Linked DNA regions of Notamacropus eugenii. The protein of the gene in region 2 purifies or fractionates together with the protein of the main gene of each other region. This does not show direct contact. Links are inferred from orthologs where the notes say so. Each region holds a gene or a part of one and is shown on either strand. Other genes may lie near its edges.

What was found.
Region 1: the proteins of CD151 (region 2) and ITGA3 purify together in Homo sapiens (co-immunoprecipitation; 4 studies listed by BioGRID and IntAct, with this or other methods). This does not show direct contact. The link is inferred for Notamacropus eugenii from reciprocal best matches to the Homo sapiens genes CD151 and ITGA3.

Annotation. Positions count from the first base shown.
Region 1 is NC_092873.1:350,539,067-350,547,046, forward strand, and holds the start of ITGA3 (integrin alpha-3), read right to left. Parts: upstream 3,151-7,980; 5' UTR 3,001-3,150; coding exon 2,786-3,000; intron 1-2,785.
Region 2 is NC_092873.1:27,466,683-27,474,779, forward strand, and holds the start of CD151 (CD151 antigen), read right to left. Parts: upstream 3,043-8,097; 5' UTR 2,885-3,042; intron 1,235-2,884; exon of another isoform or gene 1,212-1,234; intron 553-1,211; exon of another isoform or gene 422-552; intron 133-421; 5' UTR 85-132; coding exon 1-84. Other genes in the region: CRACR2B (EF-hand calcium-binding domain-containing protein 4A), read right to left, coding at 5,153-5,312, 5,490-5,561, 5,879-6,066. UniProt on the Homo sapiens protein: Structural component of specialized membrane microdomains known as tetraspanin-enriched microdomains (TERMs), which act as platforms for receptor clustering and signaling.

The sequences.
Region 1 (7,980 bases), about 320 Mb from region 2:
GAGAGATCCAGAATCTCTACACTCAAAAACACCTGAAAAGGACATTTTGAGGCAAGGGGAAGGAGGCAGCAGACTACAAAGTCCCTTAAAACTCTGAAAGTCCATGATTCTGAACGGTAGTGCTTTGAGATGTGTTGAAGAGGACATTTGGAACAAAGTGTAGAGAGACTCAGGTATCTAAAGATTTAGCTCATTTACCACAGGGCAGTTGAGTAGTACTCATGCCATTGATAATTCTCACTCTGGGAGTCAGGGGAAGGTATGTGGAATTAGAGACTGTCAGAGCCTAGGAGAAGGGACCTCAGAGATTAGATGATCATAGACTTAGAACTGAAGGGGTTTTCAGAGGCCATCTAATTCAATCCTCTTGTTTAACAGATGAGGAAACTGAGACCCAGGGATGTTAAGTGACTTGCCCAAGGTCATAAATTAGCATTAGCAAAGCCAATATTTGAGCCCAGATCCTCTGACAAACACCAGTGCTCTTTTCACTGGATAACATCATCTCATCCCTTCAAGTCTTTTGTTTTACAGGAGGAAATTGAAGAGAGGGGAATTGACTTGCCCAAAGTCACATAGCCAGGATTAGGATCCAGGTCTCCTGACTCTCAGGAGTAGGAGAGCACTTCATTGCTTCTTGCGGAAAATCCCTGCTATACTCTAAACTAAGGAAGAAGCTGTATCTAGGGTCTCCAAAGACAGTCCCCTTGGAAAATGGAGAAAAGTGTCCCTATCACTTTTCAGGCTGAGTATCATGAGGAGAACACAGCACTCCAGACTCCCTGGTCCTTCCTCAACCTTTCCCAAGTTTTAGGGTTAAGCTCTGGATGGAGCTGGGATCTCTCAGTCAGGGGTCAAAGGTCAAGACTGCTGAGGAGGTTTGGACTTTAGCCGCTTCTCAGGAAGGCCATAGGACTAGGACTAGGCAGGGCAGGGCCCTGTGCTTTGCTATAATTCCCCAAACACCTTCAACCACTCCACTACTTCCTGGGTGTAGAAGTTGAGAGCTCTCTCCATTACGGCCACCCAGCTCTGAGAAAGCGGAACTGCTCCTGTTACCTTCCCCTGATCCCCCTGACACACCCATCACCCCCATCTCTCATGAAGGCCTTCCTGCCCAAGTTCACCTCCACCAAAATAAAATAAAATGACAAAATAAATGCCCAGCCTATACTCCATCTGAGGGAGCTAGGTGAAGTAGTGAAGAGAGGACCAGACTTGGAGCCAGGAGGATCTGAGTTCAAATTTGAACACAGACACTTACTACCTTTGTGATCCTGAGCAAGTCGCTTCACCCTCTTTGCTTCAGTTTCCTCATCTGTAAAAATGAGCCAAAGAAGGAAATAGCAAACCACTCTAGTATCTTTGTCGAGGAACCCCCAAAAGGGATCATGAAAAGTCAGACATGACTGAACAATGACAAGTACCCCATTTGAAGATCCTAAAACACTCAACCTGCAGTAATAAATGGGTCAACATTACAACCATCTCAACCAATATGGGACTCAGGACAAAAACAGCTGGATGCTATCACCTTCTCTGTCCAGAACACTGACCTCCCTGCCCCCTTCCTTTTCTCAGAAGCTATTTGGGGGGGGGAAAGGGTGGAAACAGAGAGGAGAGAAAAGAGAAAAAAATACCAGTTTCCTCTTCAAACCAAAACAAACACACTCAGGGTTGAAGATTCAGCATGAATGTGTGGAATGTGGAGAAGATGCTCGGGAGGAGGTGGGGGGGGTCCCAACTGTTGGGGTGGGAAAGCATTGGGATAGTGTGCCCTCTTCCCACCACTGGCACCTCAAGGGGGCGCACAGGGGTTAGTTAGGTCAAGGTAGCACTCCCCCTCCAGACCTCAATCAACGAAACAGCTTCCATCTATCCAATCCATTCATCCTGAATCAGAGAGGAAAGTCCTCCATTCAGAATCAGAGGATCAGAATTCGAATCCAGATCAGGACACTGTACTAGGTGAATGTTTTAGGGACAGTTACTTCGAGTCATTTGATATACAGATGTTCCCTTCACAGGGTGACTATAGCAAAGACACCTGCTTTGTAAGTCATGAAGGTTCTATGTACACACATAAGGAATAAATGACTACTTCTCCCGTAACCCTGGGCAAGTCCTTCCTCCTTTCTCTGGGCCTCAGTTAACTACTCTGTAAAAGGAGGGGGTTTAACTAGATTTCCTCAGCTCTAGATCTTGGGATGCTATTATCCCTGGACATGTCGAAGATATGGCTAGTGTGGTGGGGAATGTCAGGACAAGGTGGACAGTCAAGGTGAGAGGGTCAACAGGCTGAGGATTTCTTCCTGACACATGGCTGTTCCCTTAGGGCCTTTTCCCGTTCCCCACGACTGGGGACCCAAGTCCTAAGATTTCAAAGCCCAGCTAGGTGCCCAGGATTAGGAGCTAAGGAGAGAGTTCGGCAACCCGGTCACTCCTAGTCGGGTCTCCAGGCACAAAGGGTACCCCACCCCCAGCCTGTGCCTCAAGACTGGGAATTTTTCTAGAGGGGAGAGGCAGGTTGGAGCAGCTCCTGCACGTGTTAGGGATTATCTACTCCCCTCCCACCGCAGGTCCCGCCGCCTCACCCCCCTCTTCTTCTCCCCGCTCAGTCCTTCCCCTCTCGGCAAAGCTACCCAGTGCCGGGCCCCAAAATTCTTAAACCTCAGGGGCGTTCTAAGCGCTCAAAGGAAGTGGGCTGGGTACGGGAATGTAGGAGGTCCCTCTTTGATGTCCCGGTCTCCCGCCACCCCCAGCTGCCGCTCCCGCCCCCACTCACAGGTAACGCTGCTGCCGCTCAGTCTGCCGGTGGAGGGCGACCGAGTAGCCGAAGAGGCTCCCGGGGTTCGAGGCCTCCTTCACCACCAGGAACCGGGTGTCCAGGTTGAAGGCGGAGGCAACGCGACAGCCGGCGGCTGCCAGGGCCAGCGCCAAGGCGCAGAGGGGCAGGCGCTGGGCACAGGGGGCACGGCGGCCTCGGGGGTCCGGGTCCATGGTTCCAGCCGACCCGGTGGGGCGGATGGGTGTATATTGGGGGCGCGGGGAAGGCGTGGGGGGTGAGATTCACCTGTTTCCCCGTCGCCGCCTGCGGCGTAGCCGACAGTCCCTCAGCCAATCCCGTCAGGTGGCCCCACTTAGTCCAGTCAGGTACCCCTGGTCAGTTTCACACCCTGTCCTCGCAGGGGTTCCCACCCCGCCGGCGTCAGTAGCACCCCTCTTCCCTTCCCTCCTTCCTCTGGGCTGTGTCACCGCAGTCCGCACGGACTGACCCTCCGGCCCCCGGCGTCTTCGGCCCTGCCCTCCTGCCACTTTCCCCTCCCTCAGGCTCCTCTCAAGCTGCGCCCTCCGCGCTCTGCAGGCGCTTGCTACCCGATCCGGGCTACGGGCTGCGGGGGCCGGATCGCGGCTGCGAGGGAGCAAGGGAGGGCGGGAGGGAGGGGTCCTGCGGCCCCGCCTTCCCCACGCCCAGCTCCGCACCTCCCCACCTAGCACGCCTCGGCCTAGGCTCCGCTTTTCTTCCGGGGAAAGGGTGGAGAAGGGCTCGGCTCTGCAACCACCTCTTAAAGGGGAAGCTGCGCCCCTCCCTCCGCCCCCCGGCGCCCTCCCTAAACACCTGTTCAGGGCCCCCCAAGACCCGACCCCGCTGTCTCCCGGCATTCTGCTACCGGACCATCGGGTAGGGAAGCCCGGGGCGGCGGCGGGAAAGGTGTCCTGCAGACTGCTCTCGCCGCCGCCGCTGCGGCTATTGGTGCTGCCGCAGCGATCGCGTCCCGGCTCAGAGCCCTCCGGGAGAGGTCAGCAGACGGCTGGAGCCTCTCGGGGTTATCTCTCCTCTCAGGCTAGGAATGTCCGGCTTTCGGGCTGGTTCGGATCCCAGCCTTTCCTCTCTTCTGGCTGTTTGTCCTGGAGAAGGTCGCTGAAATCTCTGAACCATCCTCTCCTCTGGGCGCTGTGTGCGGACAGTTGTCCCAAGCCTTGCTTGTTTCTGGGAGTGAATGGAGGACGAACATGCCAGATAAAATCGACATTAATTAGTAATGATATAGCCCGAAGGTCCCTAACAACGCATCTTTCGGAATCTCAAAGTGCCAGGCATTCGCAGTCTGCCATTTAACCAGGAGGAAACTAAGTCACACCTACATTTCCCACTCAGTGATATGTCTAGTGAACTGGGAATTGGGTGGACCCTGGAGTCCTTGCTCCTCAACCTCCTTTAATAACAATAATAATACATATTTAAGTACTTTTGCATGTTATCTCATTTGATCCTCATAATTTTCCAAGGTCAGAACTAGTATTACATCATTTTACATATGAGGAAACTGAGGCAAACCGGATCAAATGAATTGCCCAGGGTCACACAGCTATTAAGTGTCTGAGGCCCGGATTAAGTCCTCCTGACTCCGGGGCCATTGCTCTATCCATTGAACTACCTAGGCGCCGGCCCTGACTTGTTGGCAAAAAGCCTCTGTAGCACAATTTGAACCTCAAAGTTCAGCATGGTATTCATTGCACCACCATCTCAGAGGCCTCTAACCTAATCATAATTCCCAGATCCTGTTGGAGGTAATGTCTTCCCATCAGCAGCCAGCAGATAGCACTACACTGAATCTAACCCAGCTGGTTTATCCTCTCCTCTCCTCTCCTTAAAAAGCCCCTCTTGAAAAGGGTGATCATGGGATCCTCCCTCTCCCTTATTCCATTATCTTTGGGAGCAGCCCCACCCTGGATTTTCTTTGAATCCTGACCTTTAGCCAAGCCTCTGAGGATTGGATGGGGAGGCTGAGCCAGGGAGCACTGTTGACACTGGGTGGTGGCTCCTGTGCAGGTGGGTGGGTCTCCTAAGAAATCATCAACCACACACCATGATAGCTGGAAAGGACCCTGAACTTATCTCATCTGTTCCCCTGCCCATGATAAGGATGATGGCCAATCTTTCACCATCTCTTCTTTTAAAACATCTCCTAACTGGTCTCCTCTCCTAACTGGAAATTCTCCCTTAGTAAATTACCAAGAAGAGTAGAGATCCACTTCTTCACAATCTTCAAGAGACCCACAGTGGAGGCAGCTGCAGGCTCCAGAGTGAGGAAGACCTGAGTTCAAGTATGATCTTAGATGTGTATCAGCTATGTGACCTTAGCCTCTGATGGCTTCAGATTCCTCATCGGCAAAATGGATATAATAATATCACTCAATATCACTCACCTCACAGGGTTGTCCTGAGGATCAAACAAGATAATGGTTGGAAAGCACTTAGCACAGTACCTGGCTCCTAGTAGGCAGCTATATAAGCTATTATTATTAATTCATGGAGACTGATATGCTTCCAGTTGTTGGAATGATAGGTTATTGGCCGTGTGAACCTGGCAAATCACTTAATCTCTTTCTACCTCAGTTTTCATCAATCTGTAAAACTGAGATAAATTTACCTCACAAGATCACTGTGAGGATTAAATGAGCTAAGATATATAAAGGACTTTGTAAACTTTAAAGTGTTAAACAAATGTTAGCTATTATTATTACTCTTCAAGGAGGGCAGCAGTACCTTTATCATGAATTAACTGTCTAAACTGAAGGAGGGGCAACTAGGAGGGGCAGCTAGGTGGCACATGGGATAGAGCACTGGGCCTGGAGTCAGGAAGACCCATCTTCCTAGGTTCAGATTGGGCAAGTCACTTAACCCTGTTTGCCTCAGTTTACTCATTTGTAAAATGAGCTAAAGAAAGGGTAAATCATTCCTGCATTTTCGTCAAGAAAACCCCAAATAGGATCACAGAGTCACACACAACCGAAAAATGATGAGGGTGGGAGATGGGACAGGGTCTAGAGAAAGAGTTCTTTATTTTATTTTGTGTGTCCTTGTTGAACAGAAGGTGAGAATTATACTTGCAACTGTGAGTTTTTATTATGTAGAGCTTGCTTTTATTTTTAAGTAAATAAAAAATGTAACATTTAAACCTATCTTTCTTGTCTGTAATTCCTTCTGGCTTTCCTTCTGTTCTCTCTCTCTCTCTTCCTCTGTCTCTCAAAAATCTTTCCCCAACCCCTCTCTCCTTCTCACCTTCCCGGTCCAATTGAAAGAAAAATTAAAACAAAACCTTTGAAACAAGGATGCATAGTCAATCAAACAGATCCCCACATTATCCATGTCCAGAAATGTAGATCTTCTTCCGCTTCTTGAGTCTGTCACCTCCTTCAGGAAAGAGGTTACATAGATCACCACAGGTCTAATAGAATGGTGGTTGATCATTGCATTGATCAGAATGCTTAAATTTTTCTGTGTTGTTTGTTTCTACAGTGATGTTGCAAAGAAATGTTTATGGAGGATGAGGTAATTAAAACTGGAAGCATGGTATAATGGCTAGAGTGTTAGACCAGAGAATTGGGAAGACCTGGGTTTAAATATTGCCTCAGAAACTTACTACTTCAGTGAACTTGGGCAGGTAAGTCACTTAACCTCCCTAGGCTTCAATTTCCTCATTTGTAAAATGGGGGCAATCATACTTTGCACATATCCCTTATAGGGTTGTTATGAAACTCAGGTGAGATAATGTGTGTAAAGTGCTTTGTAAACCTTGAAATGCAGTGCAAAACGTAAATGTAACTAAAATGGTACCAATCCCAGTTCCCTGGGTGACATAGTGACCACAGTGCATACTGTGTCCAGGAAATAGAGCAAAGCTACCTGTTCTAGACAGACTAAACCCACAGCCTTTGGCCCTTTTTGCTGTTGCATCAGCCATTCATTTGACCATCCCAGTAGGAATGTTATTACAGTAGGAATGATATTCAGATGTAGAAAGGAGATAGGATCCCAACATGAAGAGATCATTAGTGATTAAGGGATTGAGGACAGCACTCCTATCTGAAAAGTGCTTTGAGATCACCTCCAGGGTTAGGGTTCAGGCTACATGTCAACTATTATCTCCCCTACCATCCCAAACAGAAATGACTGGCATGTCCGATCCCAGGGATGGGAAGTAGGAAAAGGATGAGGATTTTTTTTCCATTTCAGGGGAGAGAATAGTAGCTTTAAAGTTAGAATGGAGACTGGAACAGGGGATTACTAGTCAAGCAGAGGAAAACTGAGAGTTAGAGAAGTTAGTCTCTGGACGGAGATAACAAAGCCATGGACAAAAAGGAAGGAGAGCCAAGGAATGTGGGGGAGATCCCAGATTCCAAAGGCTGATGGGAGGAGAGGAGCAGCAGGGAAAGGCATCGAGAGGAGGCAGGGACTGCAAAGAGGAAAAGTCATGAAGAAAAATACTAGGTCCCTAAAGCAGTCACCTCTCTGTTAGCTATTCTTTTCCAGCCTCTTCCAAGGGCTAGAATCACTTAAGTAACTTCAGTCACTATGACTTCACTAACCATTGCTTCACTTCAGGCTCAGCCTCCTTAAACATGGTCTCTTGTGGACTTCTGTCATAAAGCAGATGCGTTGTATCCTGGGGACACAGACAGGGACCAACAGATGAGGGTATTTGGGTTAATTTCCTTCTATGGACAGGGGGAAGGGGAATAAGGGAGGACTTCTCCAAAGAGGGAAATGGAGAATAGGGTTGGAATGAAGGAGCAAGAACAGGACTGGGGAGTTGGAAAGAAGAGGAAAATGTACTTCTAATCAGAGAGGTTGGAGGACAGGAGAAACTGAGATATGGACTAGAGCTGAGTGCATGGTCCACTCAGTAGTTGGAGAAGGGAGTCTGAATGGGGAATTCTGAGGGATTAGGAGGTAAGAAGGGGCTAATTTTGCATAGAACATGTAGTCTCTCCATTCAGTACCTACGTTGCTCTCACTTATCTTCTGCTTTCTAGCTTGTCTGACTTTCATTAAAACTCAGTTCAAATCCCATCTTCTGTCTTTTCCCCTTGCCCCACCCCTGGCCCCCCATGTGTCTTTCCTCTGAGATGATCTCCCATTTAATGTGAATATCTTGTATGATATACATATTTGTAGACATTTTATTTATAAGT
Region 2 (8,097 bases):
CCAGAAGCAGCAATTGAAGGTAAAGAGCAGGTATTTCAGGCAGATGGTACCACACGTCTCCTTCTTCTCGTTATACTCGCCCATCTTGAGAGCCCAGGGTGGGGAGAGAACCTCCTAAGTCAAAGGGGAGCCCTAAGGGAGTGCCAGCGCAGGTTAGGAAGACAGGCTCTGCCCCGACCAGACTCTAAACCCTTCACCCCAGGAGACACAACGAGAGGGATGGGGGGCAGCTGGATGGGGGCTGGGAGAGGTCCTGTCCACCCTCAGACACCTGGCACATTCACAACTGAGGAGTATTTTCCCAGGAAACCAGGACAATGGGCAGTTTCCTGGCAGAAATGACCAGTCCAAAAGACCGGCCAAGGGAGGGGGCCATCCACCAGTCGGCCCTCCCCAGCCCAGGTGGTCTGGGTCTCCCCACCCTCCTCTGGCCTCCAGGATCTCCCAGGCAAAGAAGGAAGCCTCAGGGCACGCTAGGGCAGGGCAGGGCAGGATGCTCCCACACAAGCCCCAGGGTTCAGGTTCCCTCCACAGGGCACACTAAACACTGGGTGATCAGCCCCCGCATGGCCTTGGCTCCTCCCTCAGCCCCTCCCCTGCACTGCATTCCCTAGGCCGAACGTCAGAGCTGGGTCCAGCCCAGAGGAACTGAACCAGGCAGGAATCAACTGGTCCTGGGGGAAGGGGAGGAGAGAAGAGAGCATGGAAGAGAGCTGAGAAAGGATGGCCCCTCCCTCCAGCCAGGGGCCAAATGCTGCTGACCATACCCCACCAGAGAGCCCTGTACCCACCCTCTGCTCAGCTACTCGCTTCAGACAGGCCCTTCCAGCCCCTGTTCTGTAGGATGAGAGGCTGCTGTCTCTAAGGACTCTTCCCACTCTAACCACTGGGTCACAATGGACCCCCAGCATCTCCTGAACAACATAAGTCTTTGAGGGCCCCTGCCCTCTACCAACTCTGCTTCTTTGCCTCTCCAGTGACCCTTTCGCACTCTGGGCAGGGGGGTGTCAGGGACCTGGTAGGGGTCTTCTCTGGCTCAGACCCTCCCCTATGCCAGTGGACAATGGACACCAATAAGTGTTTTTTGGTACAAAAAGTGGTAAGGGAAGGGGCTGACAGAGACTTCTTCCAGGCCTGGGAAGCAGAAACCCAAGGAGATGAAGTGGATTGGCATTTGTGCATCATCTCCGCAGGTCAGCAGGGGCTATTACCTTCCTTTGTGGCCCAGTGCCTAGACTGGGCCCAGCACCCACCAAGTGTTCCATCAGTGGTAGTGGACCGACCTGATTCAGTTTCCCTGCTGCAACAGCAGATTCACTTCTACCCTCACTTGGACTTTAGACCCTTGGTCCTTGACCAGCAGCTTGCCCTGCCCACTTCTGGGCTGCTCCCCATCCTGAAGCCTGGTTATCAGTTATATACCTCCCTAGCCCTTCCGGTGCACCTGATATGAGGGGACATCTAGAGCGGGGCAAGTCACTCTACCCTTTTAGCCCAGGTGGGGAAGAGGAGGGGTATACTCCGGGGTGTGACCAACTCCTGAGGTGAGCAGAGAGGGTCAAGAACCAGTCCTTCCGGCAACAGAGCGGGGAACCTTAGGGGACCGCTGGAAATCCTCTCCCTACCCTGCTGAGCTGCCTTCCCTGACCCTCTTAGTTTCCCCCAAGTGTCCCAGGGTCCCAGCTCATTTCCAAACTGTTAGAAGGCAGTTTGGGCAGGGTCCTCTGGTATCCAAGTGCAGTAGACGGATGGATGGCTAAGAGAAGCCCTCTGGATGTTCAGCACCCACATGCCCCAGGCCTGTCCTGCCAGCCTCTGGTCAGGTTTGAGGAGGAGAGCAAAAACGCCACCAAGGACAAGCAAATAGACCCTGAGAACACATCCAGGAGCTGTCTCCCAGAAGCATCAGTGAAGGTTCTGGGAGGCTGAGGGAACAGGGGCTGCTCCATCCCAGAAGGCCATAGCCATAGGCCCTGGCTGACCCCAGCCAGCTCCCAGGAGTGCAGAGAGGGGCAAGGGGTGGCTTGCTCCCACCACAGCTTCCCAGGATCTAAGTCCCAGGAGGGACGCTGGTCCCAACTGCTGCCATCGATGCTGCTGGGACAGAAATAGCCCTTCCAGTCACAGGGGGCTGGCCTTATGCCCCACCCAACACACACACACACACACACACACACACTCACTCCCATTCCCCAAAGGGGACCGCAGGAGTAACTCCAGGATGCCCGTATGCTGGGGCAAAGCCAGGCTGCCAGGACCCCCACCTCACTCCCAGTCCAACAAGATCTCATCGTTGACAGCCCCACCCACCCCAAAGTTATAGAAAGTCACAGCCAGTGGAAAGATGGGAAATATAATACGTTCCCCAGCCAGGGAAAGAGCTGGAGTCAGGGAGGCCTTCCTGGTGGAGGCCCCGATTGAGCTGGAGAAAAGGAGATGGTCACAGTGGCACCCCCACATACATACACACCTATACACATACACATATGCACATACATATATACATGCACACACACATTGTAAGAAGCCCCCCCTCCCTGGGAGGAACAATTGCTCCACCAGAGGAGCGCCCCCTTCCACTCCACTGAGGCCCTCTGCCTCTCTGGTCAGCATGGTCGCCATGGTCCTGGAAGGGAAACTGAGGCAGAAAGGGCCGGAGCACCGGGGTAGGTGGGGGGGGTACCTTGGGGGCCAGGCAGGTGGGGAGGCCAGAGACCAGGCCTTCATCCTCTCCTGATCCCCTCTACAGGTCAGCCCAGTCCAGACCCGGGTGGGGGGAGGGGGTGGAGCGCAGGCCGCGGCCGGGTCGGGGAAGGGCCGGAACCCCAGAGCCCGCCCTTCGCCCCCCTAGATCCCTACTCCCCCACCCCAGCCTCTCACCAACCTGCGGGCGGCCCGAGCGCAGAGAAGCAGAAGGCGCCGGCTCCGGGGCGGAGGGATGGGACAGGGACGGGACCGGACGGAATGTGAGGCCTCCGGCCCAGGCCCGACAGACAGACCCCGCCCGCCTGCCCCAGGCCCGGCCCCAGACAGACCCCGCCCACCCGCCCCAGGCCCCGCCCCAGACAGACCCCGCCCACCCGCCCCTGACAGACAGACCCCCGGCCGCCTGCCCCAGGCCCCGCCCCAGACAGACCCCGCCCACCCGCCCCAGGCCCCGCCCCAGACAGACCCCCGCCCACCCGCCCCAGGCCCGGCCCCCGCCCAGCCCAGGCCATGGCGCAGTTCGCTCTGCGTTGAGCAGCCTTAATGGGGGACCCTTCTACCGGTCCACGAGCTGGCCGGCCCCTCTCGCGGCAGGCCTGCTGCCTCAGTGGACCCAGCCTGCACCCCGGCCTGAGCAGGAGTCAGGGGAGAAGCCGCCAGGCGGAGAGGGGCGGGGCTCTCACTTCCAGCCCCCCCAACTTCCCAAGAAGAGCTTGACCGGGGCTTTGCCGACGCTCCCCCACGCCCCACCCCGTCCCTGTGCCCTAGGGGCACCCCCAGATTCCTGTGCCCGGGGGGGGGGGGTGTCGATAGGAGAGGTCACCCTCCCCAGGTTCCTGTGCCCCGGAGGACTCGATGGACGGGTCAGCCTAGGGGGTGCAAAGGGGCTGTCCCCTGCGAGTCTTCTGATCCCTAGGGCCAAGCAAAACCAGGTTCTGCCTGGCCGCCTTCTGTTCAGGCTCTGCCTGCCCAGCCAAGTCCTCGCACCTCGGGGAAGGTCTGGATTTGAACTGGGTCTGGGTTCAAATTCCACTTTGCCTGCCTCCTCCTGCCAATGTGCACCCTGCTGAGTGTACAGCAGGCGCTCGGTACATGTGTATTGACTGCTGGCTGGGGGAGTCAGCTCCCTGTTCCCAGGAGGGATTTGTCCCAGGCCTCAGGAGGCAGCTGGTGCTGAAGGCCCCGGGGCAGATAGGGCACATGGGCTTCTCTGTCTTCCTCAGTCCTGCTTTTTGAGTGCCCAGCCTAACACTAGGTTTGGGCACAACACGTGGCAGTGAGCCTCAGTTGCTTCTTTGAAATAGGGTGACACCTGCATTGTCTCCCTCCCAATCCATTCTGAGGGATGGGCTTTATCGAGGGGTAGCGAGGCAGCAAAGCAGATGTTACGGACCCTGACAGCACCCCCCTCCTCCCAGAGTTGTGAGGATCAAATGAGATAATTATAAAGCAGTCAGCACAGTTCTTGGCACCCATCAGGGGCCAAGTAAGTGCTCATTTCCCTCCCCTTATAAGCATTAAGGTGCCATGAAAAAAGTAACCCCAAAAGGAGTAGAAGCGAGTCATGGGCCAGTGTAGATGAGACTCTCAGGGCCAGGATGGCTCCAGGATTGCCAGGAGCCCTCACCCCCAAGTGCCCCAGTAGTAGAGCAGTCAGCGCCACCTGGCGGGAGATGAGACCAAAGTCGGGGAGGCACGTCCCTGGAGCTTGCAAGGTCTGCCGGTTCTGCTAGACTCCTCCTCCAATGAGCATAGGCCGCCCTCTGGCCGCTCAGCTTTGTCCCCATGGACCAGTTTGGTCTCATTATGCTTCCTGAGGAGTTTTTTGTCCTAGGCACCAGAGTGGATATGAGGAAATGCTTCCTGAACGCTACACTCCCATCGCTTTCCCGGACCATCCCAGAAACATGACAAGGGACACTTGATGCATTAGTGGGTATATTTGGGGACAGGTATGCTCTGATGTATCCCACTCAGGACAGGGTGTAGGAAGGGACGATGCCGTTGGGGTTTAATCCTTCATCTTGGCAGTTCAGACCCAGGCCTCATGCAGTTCTGCTTGGGACCAGGAGAGGTGTGGCTTCCTGGGCCAGGAGCTGGGGGGGACAAGAGGTTTCAGCCACATGACTAGAGCCTGAGCCAACTGGGGCTGCCCTAGTCCTTCCTGGCCTGGCCTTACTCTGGTGCCTCATGGCCTCCCCAGTCCCTCCCACACCCCAGGAGCAGGAGCACAAAGGGGAGGGAACAGAATTGTCATTTGCAGCTACTCCCATTAGAGCCGCCATTAAATGGGCCACTTTGGACCTGGTCTTGCAGCAGACGCTGGGCAGCCAGGCCCTTGCAGGGGACCTGGGATGAGATGGAAATCAGTGAAGGGAAGGCGCTCCTGCTGGGGCCTCCAGCTAGCCAGAAGAGGGATGAGGCCTGCCTTAGTCAGGTTCCAGTGTCAAGGGCTGGCCCGATGGGGACAACTGCAGCGGCAGCAGCTAGAGCAGGGGCCCAGGGGGAAGCGGGCAGGTGGAGCTAGAGTCTTCCTCCTCTGCCCACTAACCAGCTTCTTGGCCTCGAAGATGTCTCTCTCATCCCGAAGTCTTCTATTCAGGTCTCTGGTGGGATCAGCATAAGAGAGAGAACAGGGGTGTGACAAGGGGGTAGAGAGATGTGGGTAAAGGGGGAAGTGGAAGCCACTGAGGCTAAAGAGGGAGAGGAGCCAGGAAGACAGAGGGGCACAACGTTTCCAAATGTGGGAGAGGCCGTGAGCCTGGCTTCTGCCCCAAGCTCACCTCAGTAACTCCAGCTGCCGGAGGAGGCTGTGTTTCTCCGTCTGCATGTTTCTGGACACAATGACCACATCCCTGTGGGCCAGGGTAGGATGGGGCAGGGAGATGACTCGGATGTTTCTGACACCCCCCCATCCCCTGTGGCTCATGCTCCGTGATCCCTAGTGGATCCCCAGAGCTCAGGTCATTTCTAGCCCCCTCTCATCCAGAAGGGTAGAGCAGGGTAGATGGTCCTAGGCCCTACCTGGCTTCTTTCCAGGTAGGAGAATGATGGGCAAGGAGAAAGGCAAAGGGAAACTGAGGTATGAAGCCTGCTCTCAGAGTGGGACCCAGGACCCCAGGGCCCCTCCCCAACCCCCACAGCCAGAGTGGGCAACCCCCTGCTGCAGGACCTGTGCTTCTGCTCTTTCTCAGCTTGAGCCTCAGCCTGCAGCCTCAGCAGCTGCTCCCGAGTCACCTCCAGCTGGGCCTGGCTCTGCTCCAGCTGCGTCCGAAGCTCCTCATTCGCCAGCCAGAGCTGGGCATTCTGTACCTGCATCTCTAGCTGCTCTGAGGTCCGCTGCTGCAGCTGCTGCTCTAACTGGGAGAAGGCAGGTAGGAGGGAGGAAGAAAGATAGGTCTGGGTGCTCCCTCAGCAGCCCAGACCCCAAGGGTAAAAGAAAAGAAGGTAGCAGCTCTGCTTGTCTGGCATATGGGGCCGAGGGCTTGCCATTACTATCCCCATTTCACAGATGGACAGCCTGAGGCTGACACACCAGGGAGTATGCTGACACCAAGTCCCACCATCTTTCCCCTTCAGCACATGCCTTTCCAGAGGATGCAGCAAACTAAAAATAGCCAGCTTACTGAGATAGATATCTCCCCTGAGGGCTGTAGCCCAGCCCAGGTGAATGAAAACCCCTGTTTCATCCTAGGCACCCTGCACACAGGAGGACCTGAACAGTTGGGAATGCCTGTCCAACTTCACAGAGCCTTGGGGGGGGTAGAGAGGAGGGTGAGGAAGCACTCAGGGGAGGAGATGCAGGAAGCAGGCAGCACTTGAACAGAAACAAAAATGGAATGGTTGGTAGAATTTGGTATGGTCCACTGAGACAGAAAGAGGCAATGGATGAGGAGCCTGGACAAAGGACCTCCTACCTAGGCCAGGGGCCTGACCTAAAGGGGAGACAGAACTTCAATCTTCTGGGCACGCTGCAGAGCTTTCCCTCTGCCCAAATCAGAGCAAATGATTATTTCTCAATTTGTCTTAATGATAGCTTTGTCTTTCACAGTCAGCAAGGGCTTATTAATGCCTTATACTGTGCTGGGCCCTATGCTAGGTGCCACACACACATCCACATGAGAATGGAGACCATCCACATGAGAATGGAGACCATCCCCATGGGCAGGAGCTTCAGCTGGGGGTGGGGGTGGGACAACAAGGACATATATAAATAGAGAATCAACACAAAGGAAATAAACATAGCACATCTGCTCCAAGGAGGTCCAAACCAGGCACAAAAGGCCCAGCATATGAAGTATTTGCAGCAGCCTTTTTTGTGGTAGCAAAGAAATAGAAACAGAGTGGGTGCCCAAACTGCCAGAATGACCACGCAGTCTCAGGGTATTGTGCAGAAACAAATGACAAAAATGAAGAACTCAGAGAAAGTTCAGAAGGTGCACACGAGCTACACAGATTTCAATAGAAAGAGCCCTCAAAGGAGACCCTTCTGAAAAATTATAAAAACCATCCTCCTTTTCTGGGAAGAGATAATGAAAGGGGACGCCTACGGGGCAGGGGGAGAGCTGTATGCATTGGCCAGTACCATGGGTCAGAGGTTTGTGCTTAATGACTTTTCTTTCTTACAAAGGACAGCTGAAGTATGAGATGGGGGTGGGGGAGGTAACATCCAGGAATGACTGATTTTTTTTAAGAAGGAAGAGAAGGAGAAGGAGGAAAGAAGATGTCAATATGGATACCCAGAGCACTCACCACCTGAATTAGGTTGAAACATGATAAAAAGGTGAGAGGAGGAAAGGCCCTTGATTTGGTTCAGATCTACAGGACACAAGAGCATGGAAGAAGAAAGGAGGAAGAACATGGAAGGGCTTAGGAGAGCTCCAGTCCTGCACAATGAGCTGGGAGGCTGGGTCTGATTTCCCCAGGCATTTCTTTGTGGGAGAATGACTGAGGGCAACCAGAGGCTAGGACTCTTAATTCCACTGCCCACAGAAAAAAAAGAGGGTGATAGAAAGGTCAGGATTCCCTCTTAGGGTGTGGGGAACCAAAACTCTTGATGACCAAGGAACAGCTAAACTTATCAATTTTTTTCTAGCTCCTCTTTTCTCTGCCAAAGAGAATGTTCCTTAGACTAGACCAGGCAGAACAAATGTGATTAATAGGGATGTGGTGATCAGCAAGTGAGGAGAGGAGAATAAGAGAACTCCTAGAGCCTTGGATAGATTCAAATGACCAGATCCAGCATTAAAAGAAGTGGCCAGTAGGAGGGTTGAGCCTCTCCCTCCCCTCCCCTCCCCCCATGGAGAACGGGAGAAGTGTCACAAGACTGGAGAAGAGCAAATATGGTCCTGATTTTCAAAGAGGGGAAAGGTGAGGCTGGGGAGCTTGATT